2 linked regions of the Canis lupus familiaris genome follow. The protein of the gene in region 1 purifies or fractionates together with the protein of each later gene. This does not show direct contact. Links are inferred from orthologs where the notes say so. Each region holds a gene or a part of one and is shown in the gene's direction. Other genes may lie near its edges.

Region 1 (3,656 bases):
TGAACATTTTGCAGGTACAGTACTACTCGTAGCAGATCTCAAGCTGCTGCTTTGGAAGAGTTCTAGGTAGGCAGCAGCACAGCCAACCTACAAATTCAGAAATCTAGAGAGCGGTAAGATCTCAATTTCATCATGTACCAACAATCCCCCCCCCCCCACCTTTGGGTTTTAAATAATTGAAAGAATAACGTGCTGCCAGTGAGGGAAAGCTAGGGCAGGACTCTGGCTGGCACACAGCAGCGGCATCTTCTCATGCTTCCAGCTGAGGCCAAGTCTTACCAGGTAAACTGTGCAGCGTTCGAGCTGACCTGTGCCCAGTCACTTTACTGCGCATGTGCAGTGCTGCCTCAGCTTCCTCCTGATCCGCCTGCACCGTGGTGGCTGCCGTGACAGCCACGATACTCCCTCTTTGCACAGAGCACCAATATGGCCTTCGGGAAGGTGACAGAGGAAACGGTCTACACCTGTACCGGGCACCCCCTCAAGTCAGACATTGCTAACATTCTGGACTGGATGTTGAATCAAGACTTCACCACAGCCTACAGGAGTATCCTTCCTTGTGTCCTGCTGACAGTAGGTGCTGTATCTCAGGCCCAAGTGTGACCTGGGAGCCCAGGGTGCAGCCAGTGCCTGCACCCTGCTGGCTAAACACGGCTACTCCAGAGGCTGGTCGGCTTGCTGTGGATGAACGGTGTCTGTGGGTGGAGTGGGTCCTGTCTTTAATGCCCTGAAGTTCTTCCTGAAGGAGTGTGACATAGGTCTGTCTTGAAGCCACCTTCCTCACAGAGGAGAGCAGCAGTCAGATCTTGGGGTGGCAGGTGTTACTCTTGTTTTGCTGTGAAATTAAAAGCCAGGGGCAGTGATAGGAAGCCTTCAGGGGAATGGGTGGGCTCTGTTCTCTACTAGGCAGAGACACAGTTCTGCCAGAAAGCCCTTGTGGAAAATGGGAAACATGGAAAAGGTAACAAGTGGAGTCCACCTCATGCAACTTCAGATTGAGAGAAACCACTCTGTTGGTTGGGGCTAAAAGCCCTCCTTCCCACTCACCGGAATCTGGGTTCAGAATTCCATGGTGTGTGTTTGTTCTGGAACCTGTGCCCTCTGCCTTAACTGTTCCTCTAGATATAATGGAGTTGAAAACGCTGAAGGGCTTGGCACTCCATGATATCCTGACAGAGATACACTTGTTTGTGCACAGAGGTAACTCTCGTTCTTCCCTAGTTGAGATGGGAGAGGAGGCGAGTGGAGTTAAGGGTGGGAGGGAGGGAGGGAACATGAGGCTTCGCTTTTGAAGCAAAGAGATGAGAATGAAGTATAAACCCTGGCCCTGCAGTCAATTTTCTTTAGTATTTAAAACTGTTCCAAAACTACTCTTAACCTCTAAAGCTCCTGAGGGAAGAAGCTCCAGAGGGCTGACTTTATTTCCTCCAAGGGTTTAAATTTTACAGCAGTAAAATAGTACATTTCATTCACATTTCTAAAGGTATTTTCCCTCAAAAGGAGAGAAAGAGAAGGAACTATCTTCAATGTAAACCAGAGCAGTCTTAACTAAACCATCTTAAGTTGCACACTTGGCCGTATCTACCATACAGAGAACTGGTTCTCCACCTTGGCAGCACATAGTAGTCATCCCAGACCAAGTCACTTGGCCTTTTGGGGGGAACCAAGCAAGCATCAGGATTTCCTCAGGCTCTCCGGGTGGTCTGTTCCGAGGCCTCTTCCATCAGGCTCTTTCCTCTGCCACAGCCAACTGCCGACAGGTCCATGGCTTGTTCTGCCAGTGCCTCCGTGGGCCTCCCCAGGGCCAAGCAGCAGGTTGATCGCTGCCCAAGAACATGGTCGGCTCAAGCCCAGCTCTGCACTTTGATTGTGGAAAATGAATACTTACAGATCGATGGATTTGTTTTTAAAACCTACCCTGCTGCTAAAGCAGCGTGGTTGACTCTTCCCTGTGTTCTTGTGATTGCTTTGGAACCTGTTCACCAAATAGGTAAAAACTGAAAACTCCTGCAGCGATCACTTCCTTAGAGGTATGGCACCTAGTGACCTCAGGCCTCTAGACAAGTTTTTTTTTGTTGTTGTTGTTTTTTTTTTAATTTTTTTTAAATTTATTTATGATAGTCACAGAGAGAGAGAGAGAAGCAGGCTCCATGCACCGGGAGCCCGACGTGGGATTCAATCCCAGGTCTCCAGGATCGTGCCCTGGGCCAAAGGACGGCGCCAAAACGCTGTGCCACCCAGGGATCCCCCTCTAGACAAGTTTAGTGTCTCCTGCTGTTTAAGTTCATAATTGTGTGTTTGGTTTTGTTTTAGTAGTAGGGGATGGCAGACCCTTGTTCACTCAGTTTTGTTTTTCCCTAGTTGACTTTCCATCTTCGGTTCGAGTACATTTACTGACCAAAATGGCAGACATAGAGTGAGTAAACCCCAATTTTGATTCTTTTCCCTTTTTTACCCTGTTGTGTTTTTTTTCTTTTTTTTTTTCTGCCTGGTTGGTTCCAACTTGCTTGTCTGCATCAATCCCCTGTGGTACAATCTAGTTTTTGGTGGGATCACTGAAAGAAACAGGAACGGTAGGATTTGCTTAAAGAACATGAATAAATACAAGGACAGGTTCAGCTCAGTTACATATTGTAGATAAAGGCCTCTCCTTACACCTCAAAGGCTTAGAGTCCACGTTGGTTCTAGAAGAGCCACTTGTGGGAGGCCCGCAGCTGTTACAACATCTCGGTTATTCAGGGACAACCAGCCATCCAGCTGTTATGAAAGCATTTTGGCATAGCAAACCATACTGGGGGGAGAGTAAACATAAATTCTGTTTTCCACTTTGCCTGGTTCCATAAATGCAGGTATTTGCCCCAGTGAAGCTAGCAGCTAGTATTTAGGTGGAGAGGAGCACTGGGTTTGAAACAGACACCAACAGAGAATCAACTCTAATTTGCTGTCATTGGCCTTCACATGCACACATTAGGTCACCACTTCCATGTAATGAGTGTCATGATTTTGCCTCCACTGACTAGGCACTTGAAAGGTGGCAAGATGGGGATGCCTGGGTGGCTCAGTGGTTGAGTGTCTGCCTTCAGCTCAAGGGCGTGATCCCAGGATCCTGGGATCGAGTCCCATATCAGGCTTCCTGAAGGGAGCCTGCTCCTCCCTCTATCTATCTGTGTCTCTCATGAACAAATTTAAAAATATATAAGTTTTTAAAACTTATAAAAAAGAGGAACAATTTCTCTGAATGCATTTTGTGAGTGAAGAAGTAAATCCTTATCATGTAAATTCTGTGTATGTCTATAGAGCCAGCATGAAGTTCAGTTCAGAACACTGTCATTGATAACTATCAATTTTTAATTTCCCCTTACCATTTTTTAAAAGATTTTATTTATTCATGAGAGAGAGGCAGAAACACAGGCAGAGAGAGAAGCAGGCTCCATCCTAGGTCACGCCCTGGGCTGAAGGCTGTGCTAAACTGCTTGAGCCACCCAGGCTGCCCTCCCCTTACCAGTTTGAATCGAATGTATAAATGAGAAGAAAACGTTAGGGCACATACTGAAGATGACTGTCTGGGATGAAGCTTTATTACCTGCTTTTCTCTAGCAAACTGTTCCACCTTCAAACTCTATCATTCTGTTGTCAAAAGGTAGCTGTCCATAATA
Region 2 (3,656 bases), on another chromosome or scaffold:
CCATTCGCCATTCAGTTGATGAAACTTGTCTTGTTACTTTCACCAGTTAATTTTATACAGCATTTGTATTACTATATTCAACTATAGAAATTAATTACACTCTTCTTCCCTGGTATTGATAAACACATTTTCACCAGAGCGCTGCTGTCAAACTTAGCATATATATTTGTAGATGAGATGAGGGAAGCCCAGAGAGAATCTCTCTCTTAGAACCTTAAGAGTTATTACATACTGATTTACTAGTATCATATGTGTGCATAAGTAGTTTAATCTCCATATCCACTCTAGGAGGTTTTGATTATTATAGTTGTCACCTCTGCTTTACAGATGAAAAAGCTAAGGTTTAGGATCTTGCTCATGCTCACCTAGCTAGCAAGTGGCACAGTTTGGATTTGAACCCAGGTCTGACTTCAGAATTTAAACTTTAGAGCAGGATGCTAACTGCCCCTGAAATCTTTACCCTGAATAGCAAGGTTGATTAAAAAAGAAAAGAAAGTTTGCTATTACTTGGTTATTTTAAACAATTGGAACAGAAGATTCACTAATTTTTTATTAATTGTATTTATTGGAAGTGAGGATGGGTTCCCTGTATAGTCATTTGAGTTTTGGTATCTTTGTGTTAACTGTGTAGTTGTCAGGTCTTTGCATGTTTGCATATTTGGCATTGAATGTATATGAAGGAAAGTAATTAAGATACTTATTTTCTGTTTTTCTTTAGGATGCCACTTGTGGCATTTGAAACCACCTACTTGCCCTCTCTTAACCAAACTTAAAGAACTGAATACTAGAGTAATAGATCTCTCAAAATGTGTTCTTGCTCTTGGTGAATTTTCAACATTGAATTCAAATTCCAAAATTACTAATTCTACGGTTGTGGTAAGTATAGAGAGCTCATCCTTTGTAGGGTGTTTCCTTCACATCTCTCAGAGGGGAAAAAAAAAAAATGGATATCGACTATTGTCATCTAAAGTTCATTTTTTTTCCCCTAGAGTCCAATTTAAAAAAATAAATCCCAGTTGAGGTAGACATCTCTTTTAAATATTCCTACAGCTTTGGAAACATTTTAAGAATTAATGGTAGCCAATTTCAAAAGAATATTAGGTTATATATAGCACATTTAGGTATTGTATATGTCAGCATTCTAATCTGATAAATGTATAACTTACAGTTAGTTGAAAGAGGAAACAATAAAAATATGAATGAAATCCTTCAAAAGCTATGCAAATGCAGCTTTGCTGTCAATGTTGTATTTAGTCACTAAAACTACTCCTACATTAATACTGACTTATTAGAAAGTGGTTGGTGACTAATATTAATAGATCATGTAGGGGTCACCTGGCTGGCTCAGTCAGTGGAGCAGACAACTCTTGGTCTCAGGGTTGTGAGTTTGAGCCCCATATTGAGCATAGAGATTACTTAAAAAAAAAAAAAAATCTTAAAATAGATAATGTAGGTCTGTTGTTGAGCATTTTATTCTTTATTGCAGTTTGTGGACAGAAGGAAAGATATGACTGAAGAAATAAGAAATCTTTTGCTAGAGGAAATTAGGTGGTCAAATCCTGAGTTTTCTTTGAGGACATATTTTTCTTTGCTTCTAAAAAAACGAAGTGAGCACCAAGTACTTTCTGAATGTCATCGTAAACAAGGTTAGTGACAGTTATCATTTACGTTAACATTTTGCTTTTGAAAACATTAAGACTTCGTCATTGACTCTTGGAAGTCCAGAGAGAATATTGCTGATGATCAGCTGTTCAACTGGAATAAAGCATCTTGGTCAGTGCAGTGTTGGCCCCTACCATGCAAACCCAAAGACAGATTTTATTAGGTTAAAACATTAATAGTTCATTTAAGGAAAGCCTTAGGTGAGATCATTTGAATTTACATACTTTGTGTAAAAGGCAGTCTATAGAACAAGATGTCCTGATTGCATTCATTGTGTGCCACATTTGATCCTTACCTCTTTATCTTGGAGTAAAAAAATTATTGGATATTTTGAAGTGATATATATAGATGACTGGATATTAAAATTGGTTTTTGGTTGAATAGTAAGCACATGCACTTCTGTAATTTCTGAAATAGAAAGTCCACAACTAGAGCCTGATGTCAATCAAAAGGAAACCAAAAGGAAACGAGTGGAAACAGACATTCATAAGTCAAAAAGAAAGAAACCAAATGAGTCTTCACCAAGTCCAAAAAAGATAAATGAGAAACCAGAAGAACTTGACAAGAGAAACAACTCCAATAGGATAAAGCAAGGCCTTTCTAAAACATCCAGGAAGAAACAAACTACTTTGAGTATAGCGTGTAAAGTAGAAACAGAAGCAGTTGAAGATCCTGATGTTCTGATAATAGATGATGGCAAAGAGTCTCCCTCAGAAAGATCTCCTATTCCTGGTAAATCAGACCTTCTTTCTCTGCTCCTACAACACTTTTGTTTATTTAACCCTTCATTTTCTCTTTTTAATACATGTTCATTGCAACATTCAAGCTATATATGTATATAAAACAAAAAGTGGAAGCCTTATTAATTACACACTGACACAGTGACACATTTAATAGATTGGTGTTTGGTCTTTGATTTTTCTGTGCTTTTGTAAATATGTGTTTTTTTAAAAACCTGGAATTGTACTATACAATTTTTATGTATTTATCATTATTATTTTTTAATGCTATACAATTTATACCTATTTCACGTGTCTCTGACATGTTCCCGTTTGGGTTATCTAGCTTTTTCAAAATATTTTTTTAAATTAATTAAGTCATCCAGTTATATAGCTTTAAAGTGTGTTTTGATATTTATACAGCAAATTTCCTATCATTTTTTAAAACTATGTTTATGTAGCTGTACTGCTGAAAGACCTACAGATTCTCCTACCCCCACAAATCCCCTTAGGTTTTGATTTTGCATTAGTGTATAGATTAATTTGGAATGAATTGGCATCTTTACAACATTCCGTCTTCTCAAATGGGAGTAGCACATCTCCATTTACCCAAGTTGACTTAGTAGGTCGTTTTAATTTCTTTTTCCAGGAGTCAAAGGAAATTACACTAAAATTATACTGCCTTTGCTCTTTTTTTTTTTTTTAAGATTTTATTTATTTATTCATAGAGATGCAGAGAGAGAGAGAGGCAGAGACACAGGCAGAGGGAGAAGCAGGCTCCCTACAGAGAGCCTGACATGGGACTTGATCCAGGGTCTCCAGGATCATGCCCTGGGCTGCAGGTGGTGCTAAACCGCTGCGCCACCAGAGCTGCCCTGCCTTTCTTTGCTCTTTAGATTATTTCTTACAGTATACATTATTTTTCATGTTTCATTTTTTTAGTGATTATTAAAGTTTTAAATATGTGCTAATATTTATCTTTTTAATATTAAAAATTTTTAAAGATTTTATTTATTCATGAGAGACTCAGAGAGAGAGGCAGAAACACAGGCAGAGGGAGAAGGAGGCTCCATGCAGGGAGCCCGACGTGGGATTCGATCCCAGGTCTCCAGGATCACACCCTGGGCTGAAGGCAGGCGCTAAACCGCTGAGCCACCCAGGGATCCCCTAAAAAAATTTTTTTAAGGAATCTCTACCCTCAACATGGGGCTTGAACTCATGATCCCAAGATCAAGAGTCACATGCTCTACCCACAGAGCCAGCCAAGCGCTTCTA

The links. The genes of interacting proteins can lie anywhere in the genome.
Region 2: the proteins of RFC5 (region 1) and ATAD5 purify together in Homo sapiens (affinity purification with mass spectrometry; 4 studies listed by BioGRID and IntAct, counting the BioPlex papers as one, with this or other methods). This does not show direct contact. The link is inferred for Canis lupus familiaris from reciprocal best matches to the Homo sapiens genes RFC5 and ATAD5.

Annotation. Positions count from the first base shown.
Region 1 is NC_049247.1:14,768,865-14,772,520, forward strand, and holds part of RFC5 (replication factor C subunit 5), read left to right. Parts: coding exon 1-14; intron 15-417; coding exon 418-547; coding exon of another isoform or gene 548-577; intron 578-1,122; coding exon 1,123-1,200; intron 1,201-1,483; coding exon of another isoform or gene 1,484-1,548; exon of another isoform or gene 1,549-1,724; intron 1,725-1,746; exon of another isoform or gene 1,747-1,990; intron 1,991-2,361; coding exon 2,362-2,416; intron 2,417-3,656. UniProt on the Homo sapiens protein: Subunit of the replication factor C (RFC) complex which acts during elongation of primed DNA templates by DNA polymerases delta and epsilon, and is necessary for ATP-dependent loading of proliferating cell nuclear antigen (PCNA) onto primed DNA.
Region 2 is NC_049230.1:40,865,683-40,869,338, reverse strand, and holds part of ATAD5 (ATPase family AAA domain-containing protein 5), read left to right. Parts: intron 1-718; coding exon 719-876; intron 877-1,486; coding exon 1,487-1,646; intron 1,647-2,079; coding exon 2,080-2,394; intron 2,395-3,656. UniProt on the Homo sapiens protein: Has an important role in DNA replication and in maintaining genome integrity during replication stress.